Linked DNA regions of Coturnix japonica. The protein of the gene in region 6 interacts with the protein of the main gene of each other region in a biochemical or structural test. Links are inferred from orthologs where the notes say so. Each region holds a gene or a part of one and is shown on either strand. Other genes may lie near its edges. The genes, in order: FNBP4, HCK, ITK, YES1, RASA1 and KHDRBS1.

Region 1 (3,231 bases), on a different chromosome or scaffold from region 6:
GCGGCCGGCTCAAACTCTGTAAGTGCCGCAAGTCGCTCTGCCTGCCCAGCACTGCTAACGGAGTCTCCGAGAGGGACGGCGCCGCGTCGTCAGGTGGTGATGGTCACAAATCATGTCTGAGATGTCAGAGATGAAAGGTGAGAAAGGTAGGAGAGGGCGTACCTGTCCCAGTGGCAGGACCAGCCTTTAGGGGTGGCGTTTATTTCGTATTGTTTTAGCTGTTCGGCTGCATCTTGGAGTTTGCGTTTGAGGTAGTTTCCATTGAGAGCACCTTCTCGCCAGTCTGCAATGCGGGTCTAGAGGGGGCAAGAACCGGGGGGAAGCCGTTGAGGGGAGGAGCTGCCGGCAGTCCCAGGGACGGGACTCAAGGTCTGGGAGAGGCTCCCTTATGGCACAGGACTCGAGGGGCTGGGAGGAGGAGCCCGCCTCTGCGCAAAGCCATGCTCGCGCCCCACCGAGGATGGGCCCTGCGGTGCTGGAGCCACGAGCTTCACGCAGCGCGCGCACAGCGGGATCCGCTTGGAGATGGAAGGCCGGAACGAGGGGCGAAGGCTCGGTTACCTCTGTCTGCAACAGCAACATGTGGAAGTTGGAGACAGATTGTCTGTTGATGCCCAGGAACTCCAGTTTACTAGTCAGAGTGTTTGCCAGCTCTCCGATCTGAAACTGCCGGGGAGAAAGGGGGGAAGAGTCAGCAGCTGCGCTTGGGCACTGTCGCCGGGCTGCCATGCCCACTCCGGAATGTCCCTGGGGTCCCACTGCAGTCCTGCGGTGAGGATGCATGCCCTGCTCCTGTGCTGGTCGCTCCCTCTGCCCAGCCCACTCCCTCCCGCAGCCTCTGCTGCTTCCTGGGGACCATTCCCTACTACTAGCTGCAGCTCCTGGCTCCAAATCAGCCAAAGGGCCTGGCGTCACAGCAGAGCAAACGCAGATCGCTACATCATCAAATACTTCAAGTGCTTCCCAAAGGAAATGGGACAGGATCCATCTTTTAGCCTTTGCAAATCACTGCTTTCCAGACAGTGCCGAGAAAGGCACCAGCTCCAGATTTACTCCTGAGCTGAGGCAGCATCTGCATTACAATCCAGCCCACGGTAAGCACAACTCAACTCCAGCACCCCACGGGAGCTCTATGAGGGGACGTGCCCCGGGGGAGCAATCTGAAGGCAAGGGGTGAGCTGGGAAGCAACAGAGAGCAGCAGAGATGCCTGCAGGGGGACATCACAATTGCTTGGAGAAGGACTCTGAAACCATTCCATTTTCTATGGTTCTGCAGAAGAGACCTTGGAAAGTTCCCAAAGCCAACAACAGGACCGGGCTGATGAGCCATGCTAGAGGAGCCCGAGGCAGGGAAACAAATTCCCGCACTGCAGTCCCTATGAAGAAGGCAGGAAGGTCTCAAATGAGGGGACGGCTCCGCAGCGCAGGATCTCCTACAAACCAGGCTGAAGAGGATGACCCCGAACCGACGAAGCGAACGGAGCAAGTTACCCAAGGAGCCGGCATTCCTCCAACAGCGCTAAAGGGATCCTGCACGTGAAATCACCACGCTACGGCACACAGTCCATCACACAGAGCACCTCCAGCACCAGAAGAAAAGGTGACAGCAAATGTGACACTTTAACAGGCTACCAGCAGCTGGCTGGGATGCAGCAGCCAATGAGAACAATCCTCGCCACAGGCTCTGTTGTGTTTTTTTTATCATAAATTAGAAACCCACAAAAGCCTTGTGCCCATCTGTGCTACACGCTGGAGGAGGTTTTGTGCACAGAACGTCACATCACACCTCAAAACCCTGCTAAGAGTTTTTTTTGACAGAGGTTAAATGTGGCACAAGGATGATAAAGCCCTTTCACGCTGTAAAAATGATTAAAATTAGGGGAAATAAGGGCAAGGTTACACGTGAGTTTTCTCAGCAGAACATTTCCTGGGGGGTTCTACTGCAAGCCAGAGACTCCTCGTCCACAAACTGTCTGGCAAAGGGAGGGATGCAACCTGCTAATGAAGCAGATCTCAGTAGCAAGCGACTGAGGAATGAAGGGGACAGGTTGCAAAGGACAAATAGGGAGATGCCCCCTGTCCTCCTGCATAGCCATCAGCAGAGCCTGAAGCTCTGTGTGCACGCATTACGGCTCAGGAATCAAAGAATCACTAAGGTTGGATAAGACCTCTGAAAGATCAAGTCCAATGTCAACCCATGCCCATGGAGCCCATTAGCCACGTCCCTCAGTGCCACAAGCCTACATTTCTTAAACACGTCCAGCAAGGGGTGCTGGGAATTGTTTGGCTGCTTAGAAAAATGGACTGAACCTCAGAAAAGAATGTACCAGAGCAATGGTGTGGGAATCACCTGTTTGCATCCAGCAGCCCATCGCTGCTTCATAAAATAAAGCTAAGCATGGAGCAGGAAGACCAGCACTAGCAGCATCTGGACACAGATTGCTTATGGACAAGGAGTCTTGGGCCTAGAAACTGATGGGGTGTGTGAGAGAGAACACTGCAAGACCATTACAGCAAGAACTTAAGGCAAAAGTCTTTGTTCTCTCTCGTGGCAAGAGTGCGAATCATTCATTCTGCCTCTATCCTCCTTTTCTCTTTTGAAAAAGCTCCTTTGAAGCCTCTGCTGCTGGCTCCTGCTGGAGACAGGGCATGAGGCTACAGAGATGCTGGCCTGATCCTGCACAGCTGCTCTGCCACAGGGTGAGCTGGCCCCACTGTCCCCTTCAGGACCCCAGGACCTGCTGCCGTCCCTGCCGCACAATGGAACACATCACACGTCTGTATAGTTCCATACCTTTAGGTCCTGCTCCTCCTCTTCTATTTTTGGTGCCACTTGTGCTTTGACTTTCTCCTGGGGCTCCTCAGACTCTGCCTCTTTGTCTGAAGGCCCATCAGCTGCTTCTGTGCTCACAGCTGCAGGAGAAAAAACAAGAGGTGAGCCTGTCAGCCACAGTGCTGTCCACACGCCTCGTATCACACTGAGGAGCCAAAGCCAGGGGCCTGTTTCCTATGAGAAAAGCCTGAAATTTAAAAGCAGAGAGGGCTGCAGCCCCTGTATGTCAGATGGTCGTTATCCTTCTAGAAAGAACACACGGGACTCAGTGAATGGCAGCTGCCACAACACAAGGATGAGGAACAGAGAGGAAATGCTGAGCGCCAGCAGCCAAGCGACCAATCGTTGAACTCCTGCAGGTTAATAGTTTGTTACAAAGAAGCATCAGGTATTAAAAG
Region 2 (4,245 bases), on a different chromosome or scaffold from region 6:
TCCTTCCACCACCTCTCCCATCCCTCACCCTTCCTTCTTCACCACCCTCACTCTCACCCATCCACACTTCTCCAAACTGCCCAGCTCCCAGCTTCTTCTCCAGCTTCAATGACTCCCGAGGAATCTCCCAGGCATCTTTTTCCCAGGGTTTCTGTGGTTTGGGCACACTGCAGGGGTAGGTGAGCCTCTGGCACAGCCCATCGCTCTGCCCTGCCAGAGAGCAGCAAGCGCAGTCAGCCAGGCTCCATGCTCTGTGGCTGTAGGGCATCAGTTTGTGTAGATAACCATTACTGCAGCATAGCACAGCTGAGCATTGCCGTGCAGCACAGCACAGCCAGGGCACAAGCATGGGGACAGGCATTTCCCAGGCCCTATGAGTATCTGTTGCCACCAACACCCTTGCCAGTAACGGTGGGGGAGACACCGAGTGGCCACAGTCTCAATAGGAGCAATGTACCAGAGCTCACCCTTGTAGTGCTCCACCAGCTCCTGCAGGGTGTCGAAGCTGCTGCGTGAGGAGATGTAGAAGCCACCACTATCCAGTGTCCGGATCCTGTAGTGCTTGATGCTGCCTCCCTGCAGGCTGTCCCCATCCCGCACAGATAAGGAATAGCAACCTGTTCAGGGATGGACGAGCTGTGTCATGGGACAGCATCCCCTCAGCTCCTGGTTGAGCCACCAGCATGGCATCAACCCTGCCTGGCCCCAGCACAGACCCAGGCAGCAATGGCAGCCCCATGGGGGCACATCCCATCTCCTCATGGGGCTCAGGGCAGCATCATGGGCTCTTACAGGGATGCTCTTACAGCAGCAGGAGGATGGGCCCCAGCCCCTGCCTGGCAGCAAAGCAAAGCCCTCAGGGTGCATTGAGTCTCTCTCAGGTGTACAGAAGGGAGGCCCTTCTGGGGCCGCCTCAGCCCTTGGTACCTTTGGTTGTCTCACTGTCCCGAATCATGAAAGATCCCAATGTGTTCCCAGGGCCGAGCAGCTGCCGCTCTGCATCCTTCCGGCTGATATCCTTGAAGAACCACCTGCAGCAGGAACAGAGCAAGCAACAACTGCTGCTAGGAGCCAGGAAGCCAAGGCTGGCACAGGCTGGGGCTGAGGACATTAATCCTGGCCTGATGGGAACATGGGGTATGACTGGAGATGACTGCAATGGGAGTGTGTGGGATGCTCACTCTTCTGCCTCCAGTGAGTTAGCTCGGGCGACGAAGTTGCTGGGGATGAAGCCCTTAAGCCCTGTCACCAGTGACCGTGCCCGCCACCACTCTCCCGACCTGAGGACACAGATGGCCATGGGTCAGCACAGGGCACTGCCAGCACCATGAGCCATAGGGACAGGTGGGGCAGGGGACACGTACTGCTCCAGGACCTGCAGCCGCTCTCCTTTCTGGAAGCTCAGGTCCCCAGAGTGCATCGCCTCGTAGTCATATAGTGCCAGCACCACGGTGTCACCTGAGCCTGCAGTAAGATTGGCTCCTGGGTGCTTGCCAGGGTCCCTGGGTCTCTGCCACCAGGAAGCACAGAGCCCCCACCCCATTGGGTTTGTTCCCAATGAGGACCCCACTGTGCTCCCCTCCCCATCATTGTGTGTACGCACCATCCGCCGGTGGGGGCTCAGGCACTCTGTGTTCATCATGCTGCAAATGGAATGACAAACAGGGGAGTGTCATGGTGGTACACAGTGGGACCTGGGGGGGTCTTGGACACTTGTCCAGCTCCAGCTCACCTTGCACTGGCAGCGTCTCCTTCCTCAACACCTTCATTTCTCCCTGACTGCCCACATTCCTTTATTCTCATCAATGTGGGCTGGGACAGACCCTTCACTCTCACCTCATTGCCCACCCCAGCCCTGTGTCTGCTGCCACCCAGGTTGCTCCATGCCCCCTGTGCCCCCCAGGACACCGTATCTCCTACTTACTTGCTTGCTGCCAGACGTGGGGTCCTTCTTTTCATGGCCTAACTGCATCTTCTCTTGGACGCTATCTTCCTTTGACTTAACGCAACCCATCCTGTGTGTGTGTGTCAGGGGGGGAGAAGTGGGGCCGTTGCAACAGCACCAAAAGCCCCACACCCACAGCTCCCACTCCAGCACAGTCAGGTGCCCACAGCCCTGTTCACACCAACAGATCAGGCTCCATAAAAGCAAAAGTCAGACTCTCCCCCAAAGGAAGGTCAGTAAGAACTGCAGCAATTGTACAGGGAAGCCCCCAAAAGGCACTTCCCTCTGTCTGATGGGGAAAGGAGAAGGGTGCAGCAAAGGAGGAAGCAAAGGGCTGCGGTCCTGTGGGGGACATGCACAGCACCACCCCGGTCCCACAGCCTTCGAGAAACCATTGCTGCCACCTCCCAGCTGTGCCACCCTCACTCCAGAACCTTTGCCCACTGTGCTCTCCAGCACAGAGCAGATGTAGCTGAGCACCTCACAGTCACCAGCTCCCCAAGTCTTGGGGCACTGTTCCATGCAGTGACCTGGTAGCAATGAGTATCCCCTGGCACACCACATGTTCTGCAGCTCTTGTGTCAGAGTCCAAGCGTGGGGACAGGATGGGACACCACATCACCACCTCCTCCCTCCCAGCACCCCAGGATCAACTTCAATGGCATTGCCCTCCTGCCATCCCCAGGCTTTGGTCCCCATCCTGATGCCACCACACCTAGCAGGGACAGGACAGGGGCCAGACCCAGCACAGGGCAGCTCTGCAGCGGCACTGCTGTCTCAGGCAGGGACAGTGTAGGGCAGCCCTTTACCAGGGGCTCTGATTCCCACCTGACCCCGCTGCCCTCAGGGCTCTTCTCTCACCTTGGCTGCTGTCACGGGTCCTGGTCCCCGTCCCTGTCACAAAGCCAAATCCACTGCTGCTGCCACCGCATTGAGCTCGGTGGATTCTGCACCCCGTCCCGGTGTGGCCCCGCCCCACCCGGTATGGTTGCGGCCCCGCCCCCCCCGGTACGACACTCCCTGTCCCATCCCGGTCCCGGTAGCCGTACAGCCATCCCTCACCCACTGCAGGATGAGTGCAGCACGGACGGGATGAAGGATGAGGCCAGAGCACTGTCACCACCCAGTTCTGTGCCCCCAGGAGGAGTAAAGAGAAAACCCGAGTGCCTCACTTGCATAAGGATTTACATACATCATTTTTAGGGAAATAACTCGCTGTGGGCAGCCCTCACAGCCTGCACAGGTGCTGCCCCCTGCTTGGGGCTGCTCAGCCCAGGATCAGCCATCCCCACCACTCCCCATCCTGTAGGAAGGCAGGTGCATCACTGCAGTGCATCCAGGCCCCCCCCATCCCAGCACAGCTGTGCTGACCCCACTTTGCACTGAGAACCCCATCCCATGCCTGCTTGGCACAGCACTGGGGTGGGTGGGTGGGTATCCCATCCGTGAACTGCCCCTGTGCCACAGCTCACCCCCTGCCCAACACATGCCCTTTGCATGGGGGAAGAACCTGCTTCAACCCCCATCTTACACATTTAATTGCAAGCTACAAAAATTACAGCACTCAGCACTGCTGGTGGGGGGCTGCTCTGATCCAACACAGCCCTGAAATGCCATCAGCCCAGCCAAGAGCAGAGCCCTGGTCCCTTCCATGGTGACCTGTGCCTCCCTCACAGGTAGTTGTCCTCCTCCTCCTCCTCCTCTTCCTCATCCCGTGCCAGTGCCTCGATGTCGTGTGTGATGTTGGTGATCATGCGGTTGAAGGACTCGGACTCAGAGCGCAGGGACCAGCTGTCGTAGCTGCGCACAGCTGAGGCCGACGTGTTGCTCATGCTGCGCTTGATGCGGCCGAAGCTGTCGGTGAGGATGCCGCCCTCGCGGATACCGATGCTCTCCAGGAAGGTCTCAAAGTACCCAATGTCTTGATCGGGGATGAAGGGCCTCATCCCTGCGACAGATGCCATGAGGTTTCATGGCGTGACTGCACCAACCCCATCTGTGTGCAATGGAGTCCCACCAACCCCTCAGTGCACACCCTCATCCCATCCCCAAGGACACATGGATGGTGTAGCACAGTGACAGACCCATTGGTCAGAGCCACTCCGACCCTTGGGGCACTCACCCAGCAGGAGGAATTTCCTCCGGTCCCCATAGAGGCGTAGGAGCTCTGCACAGTACTCCTGCACTGGTGTGCCCAGCCGGTACTCACGGAGCATCAGGGCAAACTGCTGGATCTCCTGGGGTGACAACTTGTTGCGCAGCTGGGGGGAAACAGGGATGGGTCAGGGCTGGGGGTGGTG
Region 3 (3,500 bases), on a different chromosome or scaffold from region 6:
CAGCTCCTGCGGATTCTGGGCTTCATAGTCATATATGGCCATGACTAAGGTTTCCTTTGTGTTTAGCAACGATTTCTATACCAATTAGGAAAAAGGCTCATCATATTCATGTTTATAAATATCAATGGCATGCTCTCTGAAATGATATTCCCCTGACAACACTGGTGTGCTCTGTACAGCCTGCTGGGCTCAGTACCTCAAGGCGAGGAGAGCACCCCAGGAGCTTGTGAAGTTACACTGGCAACGTGGCATTTTAAGCATTATCAAGCAATGGTTTTCATACATAATTCCACATGCACAGAAAACAGTTGTCTAGTTCTTCTTTAAGGCATCGGGCAGAATCAATCCTTTCTGATCTGATTTTCACAGTTGTTTCCTAAACTACCATTAAAAGATGCCAGTGATAAAATCTCCTTGCTCTTCTTAGATGGACATAACAACCTCACAGCTCCTCACTTCTTACTGTGACTTTTTCCACCCACAAGTGGGTTTGGAAAGCTGCTTTACTAAGGACAGCATTGTATGCCTTGATGCACTCACCCAGTTATCTTCAGGAGTGGGAGGAAGAGGCTTCTTTGAGGCTGAAATGAAATCAAGAAAGCTAATTTGAATCAGATATAGACAAACCCTACAGAAATAGAACAGCAAGCCTTGGTTGTTTAGAGTAAGATGCACCAACAGCTGCACCTGCACGGGGACTCTCAGCAACATAACACGGGTTTGAAACTGATGTGCAGATTGTATAGGGAATCGCAGAAATACAAGGGGGGGAAAAGTCTTCAGTGTAAAATGATTGACTTCCCTATCTGCCAGCATTACTTTGATGTTTATACTACAGAGGAAATATGGGAAGGACAAAATAGATTGAATCTTTTACTTTTTTCTAGGAATAAATACTTTCAGGGTCAAGATTCTCTTAACGAAAACTCATACCGGTTTTGGTGGGGTCATACTCTAAACAGCCAACTGCCATCTTCTCTGTCTGAGCACAGCATCTCCACTTGCCATCTATCCAGAAATCTGGATGGTACTTTGAGACCAAACTGTTGTTGCTCCTGGTTTCTGGAAAGAGTTAGAGTAAGAGAAAAAAGGAGGAAAAAGTGGATTTGTTTGTACTGACATAATCTCTGAAAGGCACATAGAACTGAACAGAAATAATCTGCACGTAAGGACCTTATTTTCTTTTTCGAACCATTATTCTTCGTGAATATTATTAGCCTCCTCTATTTCTCTCTTCAAACTGTTAAACACCAAAACCACAGAAAGAACAATTCAAAAACAGAAAGAAAACCTGGTACACCAGGTACTGATGATTCTCATAGCAAACTGCATCTCTGCAGGATGTATAAACGTAGGACACAGACTCTGCTGCTTTGGCTCAGTGTTCAGAGGGAGATGGACCAGTTGGGATTCACCAGCTCTAAATATTTTTGCACATGTAGATGCCAGCTGTGAATCTCTGTATGAGCAATCAAAGGTCCTTCTGTTTGAAACTATTTGCCATAATAATTCTCTTGAAAAGAATAAAGAAAAAAAGGAGAAAAAAATGATCCTGGCCTGTTTCTACTTGGTCAAGTCAAATAAAATTGTTGTTGATCACTCAGATTGTCTCAACATGCTGAACTAGAGGAGGCGATAAAACAAAAACTTGGAACAGGTACACCCTCAAAGGGGAATAACTGACTGTAAGACTAAGCTTAATAATAACACAAACAGGCTCAATGTTTTCAAAGTGAACTAAACATCAGCTCACGCTACAAAGGAGGAGAAAGCTATGAGGGAATAAGGGTGCAATTTTCATGTAACTAAACAACCTTTTCCTTCTGCACCCAGCGGTTAGTTATTGTACCTTCACTTCAGAATCATTGTAATGAACCACAGAACAATTCAAGAAGCGAACAGGAAATGAAAGCTACCCACAGAAATGTTTCTTAATAATCATGATTCTCTCAGAAGGTTGTCATCTAAACAAAGTAGCTATTAATCAGTGATGAGAAATCTTCTACCCAGAAAATATTAAGTGTTATATGCCGAAGTTTTCTAAAGCTTTTGAAAACACACCCACAACATCTGCAAATGTATTTGACTCCATAGCTGCGTTCTCAGTGACCACTTTGCTTGGTTAGATGTAAGAAAACAACTTCTCTTGTATGTTTTCTTGGCATTTTAGCTGTGGAGAAAAATGACCTGGGATAAGAAACTTCAACAATTAAGTAGGCTTAGGGGTTCTGTTACCTTCCTTCAGTGTAAAGACCCATCTCTGCCGGCTCTCACGATTGGGTGCGAACACGTAGAGGATGTAGTTATCATGGACAATCTGTAGATGGGAATAAAGATGGGAACCAGCCATTAGAAACAATCCTGGGTGTACTGGGCATGGTGGAACCATGGAAAGAAACAGGCAGTAACCCCCATATCAAGTACGTAAATCCCTGAAAAACAATGCTGTGTACAAGTGGAGTATATAGCGCCTGTTCAGAGGTATCCCATAACCTCAGTGCCTTTTACTTATCTAAAACTGAGTACAAAACTCAATCAAGAAAGAATTTTAGATGAGCAATTTTATTTTAAATCAATTTTTTGTTGAAATGACAGTTAAACCAATGGAAACATTACAACTTCAGTCTGCACAGAAGCCAGCCCACTGCATGCTGGCTATAGCCTGTTCTTCTGAAGCACCTACGAGAAAATTACTTAAGTTTCTCAGCTCTTTCTCTTAAATCACCTTCACTTAAAATATAAGAGCCAAATTTATCTTTTCTGGTCAATATGAATTCCAAGCAATGCCCCCGGGATTCACTGTACTACTATCACTCTAGAGTTTTTGATAGCTTTCACTAGGGTTATGGTGGGGAAATAAGAAACTAGAGCAGATGAGCAATGAGCATTCAGGATGCTGGTTTCATAAACGTGCCCTTAGTGATGAACAAATGACAGAAGAGAAATACAGAACATTCGTGAAGTTTCAGACTCAGGAGTGAAATCATCACAGGAACAAAAATGACTCAGAAACTTAATCAGATGACTACGTTTGGGCCTAAAATGTGATGTAACACATAATCTATGTTTCTTTTCCAATATTTATCCAAGAATTTATACCCAAATGAGACCCGATCTCTTTGATGCACAATCACTTTGAAAAAGCTTCAACCAATATCTTTAAACAGAGTTTTCTGTTTAAAGACAGCATCTGTTTTTTTCAGAGCTTAAAGCAGTGTAGATGAGGCAACGTTAATAACCGTTCAAATGATAGGAAGCATTTGCTATCTCTTGGCCTGATGCCCCTGCAGGCACACACAGACAGCTATGTGATTCAGTTGCTTTGTAGGCTATAGAGAGATAAATCATAACCTCTGTTTAAGAAAAAAAAAAAAAAAAAGGGGGGCAATAATTCCCACTCATTTTAAGACATTCTTGTGTCATTGTTTGTCAACATTTGTTCCTTCTCCCATCCATGCTTAACCAGGAAAGCTGCATTGTAATGTGGGAAGGGAAGAAAG
Region 4 (4,297 bases), on a different chromosome or scaffold from region 6:
CTTTGAGGTCTTTTCCAACCTGGGTAATTCTATGATTCTCTGATTCTAAGAACAAAACCACAATAAATACAGAGAATGAGCTATCTTCTCACAGCCCAAGGTTGGTCCTCCAGGTCAAAAATTAAGCCCTATTTTTTAGTTTCAGAAGCCACATTTCTCTCTCAGCACTGAGTCTATTCTGTCAACTAATAGAGGACTTCGGTGCTAGAAGCACAACACCTTTCAGAAGTGCTTCTCAGAAGCCTGACTATGCATGGAAGGTGTCCCGTTCACAGAAGGTTGTTAAATATGACACAGCACAATAAGTTCTGGAAGTATTATTTGTGCTAATACTGACATCAGTTTTAAAATTAACATAAAGGTAGCTTACTCAAACTGTGTTCAAAGAAGGAAGGAAAACAGCTTGATCCGCATAGCGGATAAAGATGAAAGAATGTGTTTCTTTTAACTAAAGGTCTGAACATGAGGAATTATCTGCTGAAAACATATCGCTTTTGTCCATGGGCGGAGCACACAGGAAAGTAAAACTGTGCAGCTCACATGTTCCTAAAGCAAACTTTGGCCACATGAACCAACACGGATGTGCACATCCCTGTCATGTGACAACAGGCATTTATCAGCGAACACAGCAGCAAAGATTAAGTATGATTTTATGATATTTCTCTATTTCAAACAAACTGGCAATCCCGATACACTTCTAATATCATTCCATTGTTTCATTTACTACCTAACAGTTCCCTGGATACATTAGAAACAAATCAATCAATCAAAAACCCTCTTCATATTATGAAATACAGATCAAAGCTAATCTAGGGCTCACTTTCATTCCAAATAGCAATACCAAGGTCCAAAAATTAAGAGTTTTTAATAACTGCACAAGTAGCCCTGAGAGCAGGCAAAACCAGGGAAGTCTGATTTCCTGCATCGGTTTCCAGCTTAAGAGAAATGATTATGTGAACTCTGTGGCGTGCGGGTTAAAAGCTCTTTCCTACCTACCTTCCTTAATTCCAATAGAATTCCATAGAAATATTCCAACCTGGGAGACCTCTGCTGCCAAATGTGTTTGAGATTGGCTGACAGCTGGAAGACTTACATACAAGAGGGAGCGACAGGCACGCAGATGTTGTGGTTGCACTTGAGCTGCTCTTCCTGAGGAAATAAAGCTAACAAAACCTGTGGAATAAAATAATCATAGGGAAGCAATGCTACCAACCATAGCCACAGTCTCACGTTCAGTATCGTGTTTTTTTGTCCTCTGAAATCCAGCACAGACCCTCTCAGCACTGCTCCCTCTGTTCATCACACAACGGGTACCTTATTCTGAGATTAACCCTCAAGCCCCGGCTGTACAGAGCACCCAGATCCATGCGCATGTTCAGTAGGAACATCCTAGAGCTAAATTCACAAACATGCATTGGAAAAACAGGCGCGAGTGTGAGGCTTTCCTGCTCGACCTACTATAGGGAACCTGCTTTAGCAGGGGGTTGGGCCCAATGATTTTCAGAGGTCCCTTCCAACCCTATGATTCTGTATTCTGTTTTGTCAGCTGGAAAGGAACAATTCTTACTCTTCTATCAAATCTGCAGTAACACTGAATTATGGCAATGTTGTACTTCACACACTGCAAACGTAACTGACAACACAACTTAATGGTAAACCCCTCTTCCCAGTTATACCTTTCAAAAATGAAAGAGAAGGCTCCAAAGTAAACTTTTGTATCTCATTTCCTTGACTAAAGGTCAACTTTGCTTGCAAAACTTGCCTGAAATTTCATTCAGTTGTCTATGAACTATGAAGAGAAATACAACACACTTCCCTTGGCTACACGCTCTATGTTCTAAACCACTTGGGGACCATCCTGCCCATTTTGGTACATTCAAATATCTGTTTGTAACTAATGCTACCCTCTGTCTTGGCTTAAATGCAGCAGGTAGGCCTGGAGAAACCTCCTCAGCCTCTGAGAGGATCAGATACATTTACACCCCAGTTATTCCCGATACAAAGTGGCACATACGTGCCACATCAGACGTCTGGAAGGTCCCATCTTGAAACACATGCAATAAACCAACGTACTTAATGCCATGTAAGAGAGAGGGGAAAAAAATAATGCGCCAGCCGTTCTCCTGCACATAACTTCACACGGAGAAAGAAAGTAGCACTACAGGAATGGGACTTTCCTTCCCTCCCCTCCCCACCTAAACCGCCAGGAACACGAGGGGGATTGACGAAGTGTTATGATGGCATATTTAAATTAATGACTCAGAAATTTAAAGCAGTCGCCTTGCTGCTAGGTGGAGCGATACAGAGCCGAGAACCGAGCGAAAAAAACAGCACATAACGACACACATACGGCCGAGCGAGAGCCGAAGGGGGAACGCGTTTCCTGCGCTGTTCCAGCAGCGCCCGGAGCCGGAGCGGCCATGGCCGAGCCCCCCGCGGGGAGAGGCCGGGGGCGGGCAGAAAGTTGCCGAGAAACTTTGTGCGAAGGGACCGAGGTCCCCTCCCCGGGGTGGGGGCGAAGCGGGCGGCCCCGCGGGGAGAGGCCGAGGGCGGGCGCGGGCGGCCGGGGCCTAGCGCTCAGCCGGGCGCCGCCGCCGCCGCCGCCATCGCGGCCGCCTCTCCCGCGGGGCGGGGGGGGGACGGGGCCGCGGCCGGGTGCTCACCTGCCCGTCCTCGCCGGCGCGGGTGGGAGAAGGAGGGGGAGAGGAAAGGAAGCGGGGCCCCCCCCGCTCCTCCCGGAGCCGCGGCGACCCGGGGAGGGAAGGGGGGGAGGAGGGGAAGGGAGGAGGGAAAAGGAGCAGGAGGAGGGAGCCGGGCGCTCCGGTGCGTGCGAGGAGCCGGAGCCTGGCGGCGGGAGGAGGAGACTCCCCGCCCCTACGGCCGGGCTCTCCGGCGGGCACCTCCGGCCCCTCCTCCACCGCTCCCCGCCTCTCTCCGCTGCCCGCGGGCGCCCGGGTGAGGCTTGGCGAAGCTCCCCGCCCGATCAGAGGCCGCGGGGAGGAGCCGGGCGGACCCCTCCTCGGCGGCGCCGCGCACCGAGACAACATGGTGGCGGCCGCGAGATGAGGGGCAGCTCCACATCGGGGCGGCCTTCGGGCTGCCTTCCCCCTGCTTGACGCCGTTCAGGTGTGTGGCTTCAGCTCTAAGCTCTTCTGCCTGCCGTGGGAAAGGCGTGGAGAAATTATAACCACGCAGGCTTGGTGTGTGTTATAGGTTTGAGTCAGACAGGGACATCCCGCTGGTCTCAGTGGCAGAGGTCAGCGTCGGGTGTTTGAAAAAGGAAAGTTGGGTTTGTGTCACGATGGACTTCAAGATAAAGGCTCTTCAAGTGTCTTCTGAGGCCATCTTTCAGAAGTCAGGCCAGTTAATCAAAATATCCAGGCTGAATCACCTGGCCTTGGGCATCTGAGGTTGCATAGTAGGAAATTTTTCTGCTCCGAAACAGTGGTGAGGCATTGGAACAGGCTGTCCAGGGAGGTGGTGGAGTCACTGTGCCTGGAGATGGTTGAGAAATGTGTAAAGGTGGCATTGAGTGACATGGTTAGTGGGCATGGTGGGGATGGGGTCACGGTTAGATGTTCTTAGTGTTCTGTTCTAGCCTTAATGATACTGAGTGACTACAGGAAGGACTGAGAGAAAAACACCCCGAGGAACCCAGATTATTAAAGTTTACACAGTCAGATTGGTGGCTGTCATTCAGGATTAGCTTAGTTTTCAGCTCATTAATAGCTAGATTTATGTCTCTTGCACCTTTATTTGGTGTGAAGGCTGACTGATAATTGTATTGGTCCATAATGAGAATCTAATACAATGTACACTTACTCTTTAAAACAATCAAGCAGGAGGTTCCATTTCTAGGCAATGATGGAGAGTAAAACCATTTGTCTTTTAGCTGAAGTCAAATACAAGTATTTGCTTTTACAAGACCATAAATACACTAGGCAGTTAACAGTTTTATATATAAAAAATAATATAAAATAATAACACAAAAGTGTTTCAGGTTGTGATGCTCCTTACCATAAATAATACTCATGTAACCCTGTTAGAGTGGTGGAGTTTATCATTTTCCTGTCCTGTTAGGAGCCTAAATCACATTATTGCGGAATTGATTTTTAATTTAGAAATCAACAACGAGTCTTACAAATTGCTCTGGGTGATGAATTATTTAACCAAGGAGCAGTCAGAGCTCTAGGTCTGGTCACTGCTTCCCAGCACAGTCAGGGCTTGCAGCAGTTCTCCAAGCTTATATGGCTGACCTCCACTATTGCTTGTGTTTTCCTTTCCTGTACATGGGCAA
Region 5 (4,242 bases), on a different chromosome or scaffold from region 6:
TAATCTTAACTATAAATTCAATCATTATTCCTAAAGAATTATAGCAAACCTTTCCCTGTATAAGATTATAGATAATATTGATCTTTGTTTTGATAATAAATCAGGAGTTTAATTCCATAGAAGCAGATGGTACATCTACAAAGAAAGGGCCCTTCCAAAATAAAACAGCAGGACTGAGAGGATGCGATTTACTATCAGCATATGGCCAATCTGAATGACTTAAATAAGAACGATGAAAACTGACACCATAAAGGAGCTGAATGAGAGAGAAACACGGTTCTATTCAATCAATTTTTTATTGAAAAGTCACACTCCGAGGGTTATGTGGCAAAGGAAAAGCTGTTAAGAACACAGAGTAGGGAGGTACGTGTACATTTTCCACAATACTTGATTTGTTGTGAAGGATTCTCTTTTATGAAGAAAGCTCAGCTCACAGTTATGCCCTGGTTCTGCAAAGACTCCTGTCTCCCTTTTGTCTGAATAAGGTACTGTTAACCAGAGCAAATTAGGGCCTGCACAGCCTTCCCCTCAGCACACACTTGTCAAAGCACTTAAAGACAGACATCACTCCAGCACTTCAGTCACAGGACAATGCTCTGACAGCAAATCCCACTCCTATTAGCATATGTCCATATTGCATATTTAGGACCGAACAGGTGGTCATTTACAATCTGTCACCCCATTTCCTAAAGATACTTCCAAAAAGGACTCTCTCTCTCTGACTAACATAACTGGATCTAATGGAAAAAGCAGTCTGATCTATTTTCAGAGAGAAAACCAGAAGTACAGAATTGTGTGCTCCAGTGATTTGACAACCCTGAAGAAGTAATTTCACATTCGTGTGCCTCTATTTCCCTCCTGATCCTTTGTCAGAACTGCCTGATCATATTTCCAGCTCATTAGTGACGCCAGTCAAACACTGTTCAAACACTGCCTTAAGTTAGCAAACTTCTACAGAAAGTCAAGAAATCAGGAGATTACAGGGAAGACTGTCAAAGCGAGAGACATGAATTTAAAAGGGATTCATATCGGTACATTTTTATGTCCTCCTGATGACTTTAATGATTCCTGAAATCATGGAAATACACGAATGGTGCAGAAGTCTCTTAAGAGTGGTACTGGGAAAGAATGTAACAAAGAACCCAAACTCAGATGGGCTTTCAGGTCGTCCTTCTGATCCACGCCTTGAAACTATCTACCAACCCTCATGGTTTCACACAATCAGACTCCTTAAGGTTGGAAAAGCCCGCTATGAACATCTAGCCCAACTGTTTCAGTACCTTGAAACCTTACATTATCTACTATCCTCAGGAAACTTCAGGAACAACACATTTCTAGACACTACTTGGTGCAACCAATAGAGCTTCTGAAGCAACTCCATTTTTTAAATAGCCAGGCACCCTCCCAGAGAACTGTTTTCTGTACTGAAACGGGGCTTGAGGTGCTACACACAAACCTGCAGACTTCCTATGCTTCAGCCCAAAGGTTGTGCATGGAGTGCTCATTAATTACACAAACTACACACAGCATTATCTGATCCTACATTTTTCACACAATATAAATTGAGAACTGCTCTGCTCAGAGTGCGAAATTCTGTTACCAGCACCACAGGACATCCATTCACCTTAAAACAGAGATAACAGAATGAAATCCAACAGGAGGTTTGCAGGATTTTCACCTCTGCCTCCTGCCTCCATACAGACAAACCAACATCAGCCTCGCTTTAAACTGGCTGAGCAGCAAAGTCAGGCGCTATTCTGTAAGCACAGCCCGCCCACTATTTTAAAGTAGAAGAAGAATTCTACTCATTTCCAACCCGCGTTCCAGAGTGAGCAAACCTCACCCTCCCTACTCCACGAAGGCAAACACGTGCGTGCAACCTTCGTGATATTCCTGTATGAAATAACAAAAAGGCTGGGGTGTTCTTTGTGCTGTTCTTGTTGCTTTTTTTTAAGGTATAAACAACGGAATGCAAAGGGATGACACGAGGAGAGCAGCGCTTTGTACAGCGGGGAGGTCTCCGCCTGTTACAAAGTTAGCGCCGCAGTCCCAGTCTGTCCGGGAGCCGCCCGGGCCTCCCCCCGCCGCACGGACACGCGGCGCTGCGCGGAGCCGCGCTCTTCCTGCGCTCCGGGAGCGGAACCGAGGGGGGTGGGGGGCCGCGGTACTTACTGGTTGGTGGGGGGCGCGTTCAGCGGGATGGCCACCTCCTCCTCCTCGTACTCCGGCCCGTCCAGCGAGTCGCCCTCGTCCACGGCCGCCAGCCCTCCGGCCGGGGGTAGGGGCGGCGGCGGCGGCGGCAGCGGGGGGAAGGCGGCGGAGCCCGGCTCGCTGGGCGGTGGCGGGGCTCCCGTGGAGCCGAGCGCCAGCAGCCCGAGCGCCGAGCACAGAGCCGGGCCGGCGCCCGGGCTGTCCCCGCCGGAGCCGGAGCTGGAGCCGGGCGCGAAGGGGCCCTGCGGCCCCGGTGCTTTGCCTCGGCAGTGCCCCGGCTCGGCGGCGGCCGCCGTCCCGGCCGAGGTAACCGAACCGCCGTCCTCAGCTCCGGCCTCGGCCGCCATCATGTTGAGCCTCGCCCCCCCTCCCGTCCGCCGCTCGCCCTCCCGCCCGCAGCCGCCGCCGCCGCCGCACGCCGGGGAGGTGGCGACAAAGGGGCCCCGGCCCACCCCGCCCCGGCGGGGAGCGGAGCCGGGACGAGGGCAAAACTGTCCCGGCGGAGACGGGCCGCGAACAATACCCGGCTGGGCGGGGGCTGCGCGCTCACGGCGGCTCCGCAGGGCCCCGGCGCGGCTGCCTCGGCCCCGCCGGCCGCCAGGGGAGCGGCTCGGCCGCCCCGCGCTGTGCCCGCCCCCGTGCGCCCGCCAGCCGGGAGGGGGGAAGGACGGAGGCGGTGGGACGGGCCGCGCATGTGCGCCGCTCCCCAGCCTCGTCCCTATGAGCGCGTGCGTGGAGCTGGGCGGGGCAGGAGGGGGAGCGGCCGCACCGCGTGGGGGAGGAAAGTGCGGGGTAGGAGCGGCCCGAGCCGCCATGGTGTGCGGCCAAGGGGCGGCCATGGTGCGCCCTGAGGCTGAGCTGCCTTTGGGAGGGAAAATAGAAGAAAGTATGGGGAGTAAAAGCCAGGAGAGGCGGCAGGTGGCGCGGGGGCACGGCGGGAAGGGACGGCGCGATCGGGGCGTGCTGAGCCCGTGCTTTGTGTGTCCCCGTTATAGCTGCACCGCCGTGTGCTGCGGGAGGAGAACAGCGCATCGCCTGCAGCCGCTGTGTGACCGCACTGCCGCCCGTACTCCATTGCCGGTTACTCCGTTACCGTGCTGATACTTCTCTCATTATCTTCTTTTTTTCTTCTTCTTCTTTTTTTCCCTCCCCCCCCATAATAAAAGAGCTGACAAATAGCAGCACGTTGACACTTGCACGCCTCTCCAAAGTTCTCAGGAGGCATCTAAACATTCAGGTTTTCAAAGCCTTGTGTTACCAAAAGAATTAAGTGAATTTCTCCCCAGGCCACTAAAACAAACTCCTACTCGCGCTTCCACCGCCCTGCAGACAAACCTCCTTTTATCTGCCGAAACGAACCTTCCTATCTTGCCTTCTGAAGGCAGGATCCCATTCCAGGTCCTGCAGCGCTGCGAGTACCCGTGGGACTCTGCTGGGCTCGTGCCCGGTGTCAGAGCAGACGCTGTCTGCGTCCCTGGGCTCACAGAATGGCAGCGCGTTCATGCCCTGCTGTGCTGGTAAAGAAATTACAGTCTCAACAGCCATCTCTTACGGGCTTGGTTTCCACGTTGCCATATTTCAATCGGATATGTAATTCCACGTTGTCTTGCAGCCCACTGGCTCCGTGGGCTTCTGTTTAATGCTGTTTGCTTTCTCCTACGGGTTTTTAAATAAAAGGATTTCAGCACAGTCTTGTTGTTAAAATGATATTCCTAAACATAGAGCTGCAGTGTAAATATTTATGATTGCTTCGACGAAACACGCTTTTTTAACTGACTTAAAGGGGCAACAGCATGCGCATATAAGCATGGAGACCAGGGCATCTGTGCTCTGAATTTCCTGCAGCACTCCTCCAATAGATTTAATCTGGGTAGAGCAGTTCTAAGTGTGGCAAGGGTTCCACAGAAAGGTAATTTCTTGTGAGACTGGCCGAGTTGTTTCACCCCTGCCCCTGACACGCTGCTTCTTTCTACTTTGCCAGCAAAGTCATCTGCCCCGGGTCACTTGCATTTCCTCTTTTTTAAGACTTTC
Region 6 (3,500 bases):
CCCCTACTGCCTGAGGTGTTCTTCACAGTGGAAGCGAAGTCTGATATCTCACTCATGCTCTAATTCTGCTCTTGGATATCTGTGTTATTCAGCTGGTTTTAAGAAGCTATAAATAAACTGGAGTGCAAAAACTTCTCAGGCTGCTGAAGTAAAAGCAGGAGGAAGTTACAGCCCCACTGACTGATTGTTAGCTCAATTTTAGGAGCAAGCAAATAAAAAAATAATCCATTTTTTTTCCTGCCCTGAAAGCCTCCTGGCTCTTTGTGATTCACTGAAGATCACCAGCAATGCACTGCTGGTAAACCATGAGAATTTACAGACCTCAGAGGGGACTGCTGGAAATGGGAAATGGTGGGTTTTTTCTGAAGGGGAAACTTATTACTTCAGCAAATGACATTTCAACAAGTAGGTAGAATTGGTTCTTACTTTAAAGACCTTGTTTATCACCTTCCATATAAGCTATCTGTACACCCGAGGTACAGTACATCAAAAGATGACGGGTTTCTGCAAGTATTGCTTATGGAGAAAGCATCCATCACACTGCTCTCTCAATTGAGAATGCTCCCAACAAGCACAGACCAATTTCACAAAGGTGAATTCCTACCGCCTTCGCTTTTCAATTCTGGTTTATAAAACGCTTTGGGAACATCTGCTTTTCACATCAGAATGAAAGGCATTAATGTATACTATGGTTTCAAAGGGTGGACATTACCTTTGCCTTATCTCGCATCGAACCCTTCCCGAGCACAGAGATCTTAGCACCAGTTTCTTCCTGAAGCCTCTTGATGGTGTTACCTTGAGGTCCCAAAATCTTTCCAACAAAGTTGAACTGTAAACAAAGAAGAAATATTTAGCTCCAAAACTCAATAACCTCAACGAGAGCTTCTCTCAATGTTAACCTGGATTACAAATTCAGTCACACCGAAAATAATTAGGCCAAAAACACAAAGGAAAATTTAAATTCCAAATTAAAATGCTCCCCCAGAAAATCAAACTAAATGAACTCACGGAAAACGAGCTTAATTCTAACTTCTATTCTAGCAGATTTACAGGCAGTCTTAAGAGTTAAACGTGGCCTTAACTGTAAAACACAGAGCTCTGCATGAGAGTCTATTCTTGTAAAGAAACATCACAACTGTGCATCACCATTTAGTTTATCCCTAGACATTCTGGAAACGTAAGACATGGAATATATTAGAAATAAGATCCTGCAAGCTTGCACAGGAAAAATTCCACAGTGATAGCGGCACACTGGCATAACTCCTGCTGCCACACTGACAGCCACTATCTCTAACATTCAGCCATAAAATCCATAGAAAACAAGCAAATCACAGAGATTCCATAAGCTGTTTTCTGGCCCTCACCTTGGGGTACTGTTTGACAGGTATCAGAACTCGTTCTTTCAGTTTCATATTCTTGTGAGAAAATAAATCCAGGTAGTTCTCTTCCTCATCCTTCTTTGTTGTTTCACCCTTCTGAATTTTTTCAATTTCTAAACAAGATAAAAATAGGGCTGCTTATATTCCTCAAACAAGCATCATTTTAGCGTTGGAATTGTACCAGGACGTACCACCCTCATCCTCTGTTAACACAGGAACATTGATCAGATTCATTTGTATGAATGGGATCTGGACAGACAGGACAGCCTATGTGCTGGCCCAGCTCACCTCTCCTTCCCTTCACACCTAAGGATTCCAGAAGGCCAAATGCAGGACAATGAATGATACCAGAGCAGCAGGGAATGCCCTACGATAACCTCATCGCTCAAGGGAGGAAAGTTAAGCAGCTGTGTGCATCCCTTGTGCTGTGCCTCCTGCTGTCCATCCCCATGCTCTTGCCCCCATGTGAGTGCAGCTCCCACGGCAGAGCCCTGACCCACACAGCACCCAGCCCAACCACATGGACTGAGTTCCTCTGCTTCAGTGCAGCATTGATCAGCAAAACAGGCAAATCTTTGGTAATTTTTTAAAGCTGATGCACCATTTTGAATCTGTCACAGAGCGGCATCAGCCAACACTGTGAATCCCAGTTATTTGACAGCATTCTTAATAACCAGAAGTCTCAGTCAGTGACAGCCCGGAGTTCAGACTGGATTCTGGAGCTGACAGTCCTCCCTCCAGGAATGCACCTTCATCACCAGCAATTCACAGCTTGAAGCAGGGAGCCCTGGGCACATGAGCCATCGAGATGCCCCAGCTTGATTCAACCAACATAACCACAAATGCTGACTGTCAAAGTAAGAGCCCCCCCTCCAAATGGATGCTGAGTGAGGACCCTTCCTTAAAGCTGAAGCACATCATTTCACCAGCAAACCCAGGAGCTATAAATATCAATTCTGATTCCAAAAGTGCTTCAAATACGATTCCCCACATCTCAGCGGGGAGGGAGCCACTTTCACAAGATCACACACAATTGGATCAGAGCTGCAGGGCAGCCTGCTCAGTTACCAGCATCTGCAGAGGGCAGCCGCGCTATCTCACCTGTCCTGCAATTTCTGCCCATGCTTTGCATTAAACGTTCATGTTTCCAGCTTTCAAAGGCTGGGTACCATCAGATGTTGGGCACACTGTCCACCCAGTGACGGTCTCAGACCCCAAACCCAGTCAGGCACAGCGGGTTATGGCTGTACAGCCTGAATGGAGGCACCTGGCACCTTCCAGCAGCCCCAAGGATGGGGGCTTCATACACACATATTCAGAGATCTAAGCACATAATTGAGTTATTACATTGCACAATCATAAAAAAAGCCTAATTTCTCCTTGGATCACTCCTAAGTGTGTCACCATGGCTCCTCAGTAAAAAAACAATACAGACGGATACAATCAGCTTTGAGGAAGATGGGTTGATTTTTGCTCTGCAAAGAAATGATCTCCTGAGGACAGAATAGAAATGCAGCTGGAGCTCTGTCAAGTCTGTAAAACAGAGCGAGGAGATGCCTGGGTCAGCTTCACACGCAGCCTTTTCATTGCAGCTGTAAGAACACATCAGAGAACCGGGATGTGGAACAAGCAGAGCACACTGCTGGGCTCAGCGCTGGGTAAGCACAGCTTTAAATCCTGCAGTACAGTGGGATCCTCTCTGCAATACTTTGGCTCTCCAAAAGCAGTGAGAATGTTTGTAAGAGTATTCTGCATATTAACAAAAAGGACTTTCTACACACATAATAATGAAAGCGCCCTTAGGCTGCCTTGCCAGAACAACGTGATCAGACTTCAGCCTCTGAAAAGCAAAGAATCGCACCCACAACACACAGCAAAACCTGATGCAACAGCAGCAACGCCTGGGAATGAGGCTGGGGGAGCAGCAAACAGTTAAAGCTGTGCTCAAAGCCTCAGCTCCAGCATCACCGATTCTGCAAGTGAAACCCAAAACCAGAGAGAAGAAAAAACCCTGACCCAAAAAGCAACCCGCAGAGCGCTCCGGCTTTCAATGTGGGTCAGTGCAGGTGGCCTCACGGTCTCCTTCACAGCACAGAAGGAACCCCCAAAGCTTTAAACAGG

What was found.
Region 1: the proteins of KHDRBS1 (region 6) and FNBP4 form a complex in vitro, tested with the Homo sapiens proteins (2 studies listed by BioGRID and IntAct, with this or other methods). The link is inferred for Coturnix japonica from reciprocal best matches to the Homo sapiens genes KHDRBS1 and FNBP4.
Region 2: the proteins of KHDRBS1 (region 6) and HCK interact in a biophysical measurement, tested with the Homo sapiens proteins (2 studies listed by BioGRID and IntAct, with this or other methods). The link is inferred for Coturnix japonica from reciprocal best matches to the Homo sapiens genes KHDRBS1 and HCK.
Region 3: the proteins of KHDRBS1 (region 6) and ITK form a complex in vitro, tested with the Homo sapiens proteins (4 studies listed by BioGRID, with this or other methods). The link is inferred for Coturnix japonica from reciprocal best matches to the Homo sapiens genes KHDRBS1 and ITK.
Region 4: of the proteins of KHDRBS1 (region 6) and YES1, one has a biochemical effect on the other in vitro, tested with the Homo sapiens proteins (2 studies listed by BioGRID, with this or other methods). The link is inferred for Coturnix japonica from reciprocal best matches to the Homo sapiens genes KHDRBS1 and YES1.
Region 5: the proteins of KHDRBS1 (region 6) and RASA1 form a complex in vitro, tested with the Homo sapiens proteins (2 studies listed by BioGRID). The link is inferred for Coturnix japonica from reciprocal best matches to the Homo sapiens genes KHDRBS1 and RASA1.

What each region holds. Positions count from the first base shown.
Region 1 is NC_029520.1:547,142-550,372, reverse strand, and holds part of FNBP4 (formin-binding protein 4), read right to left. Parts: intron 2,914-3,231; coding exon 2,795-2,913; intron 667-2,794; coding exon 562-666; intron 297-561; coding exon 163-296; intron 1-162.
Region 2 is NC_029535.1:8,940,970-8,945,214, forward strand, and holds the start of HCK (tyrosine-protein kinase HCK), read right to left. Parts: upstream 2,801-4,245; 5' UTR 2,015-2,800; coding exon of another isoform or gene 1,925-2,014; 5' UTR 1,770-1,924; coding exon 1,604-1,769; intron 1,465-1,603; coding exon 1,365-1,464; intron 1,281-1,364; coding exon 1,182-1,280; intron 1,032-1,181; coding exon 928-1,031; intron 618-927; coding exon 468-617; intron 211-467; coding exon 58-210; intron 1-57. Other genes in the region: CCM2L (cerebral cavernous malformations 2 protein-like), read right to left, coding at 3,616-3,893, 4,068-4,206. UniProt on the Homo sapiens protein: Non-receptor tyrosine-protein kinase found in hematopoietic cells that transmits signals from cell surface receptors and plays an important role in the regulation of innate immune responses, including neutrophil, monocyte, macrophage and mast cell functions, phagocytosis, cell survival and proliferation, cell adhesion and migration.
Region 3 is NC_029528.1:13,136,375-13,139,874, forward strand, and holds part of ITK (tyrosine-protein kinase ITK/TSK), read right to left. Parts: intron 2,318-3,500; coding exon 2,236-2,317; intron 1,063-2,235; coding exon 934-1,062; intron 582-933; coding exon 541-581; intron 76-540; coding exon 1-75. UniProt on the Homo sapiens protein: Tyrosine kinase that plays an essential role in regulation of the adaptive immune response. Regulates the development, function and differentiation of conventional T-cells and nonconventional NKT-cells.
Region 4 is NC_029517.1:91,945,449-91,949,745, reverse strand, and holds the start of YES1 (tyrosine-protein kinase Yes), read right to left. Parts: upstream 2,801-4,297; 5' UTR 2,664-2,800; intron 1-2,663. UniProt on the Homo sapiens protein: Non-receptor protein tyrosine kinase that is involved in the regulation of cell growth and survival, apoptosis, cell-cell adhesion, cytoskeleton remodeling, and differentiation.
Region 5 is NC_029547.1:54,365,730-54,369,971, forward strand, and holds the start of RASA1 (ras GTPase-activating protein 1), read right to left. Parts: upstream 2,801-4,242; 5' UTR 2,562-2,800; coding exon 2,173-2,561; intron 1-2,172. UniProt on the Homo sapiens protein: Inhibitory regulator of the Ras-cyclic AMP pathway. Stimulates the GTPase of normal but not oncogenic Ras p21; this stimulation may be further increased in the presence of NCK1.
Region 6 is NC_029538.1:4,470,434-4,473,933, reverse strand, and holds part of KHDRBS1 (KH domain-containing, RNA-binding, signal transduction-associated protein 1), read right to left. Parts: intron 1,493-3,500; coding exon 1,365-1,492; intron 830-1,364; coding exon 713-829; intron 1-712. UniProt on the Homo sapiens protein: Recruited and tyrosine phosphorylated by several receptor systems, for example the T-cell, leptin and insulin receptors. Once phosphorylated, functions as an adapter protein in signal transduction cascades by binding to SH2 and SH3 domain-containing proteins.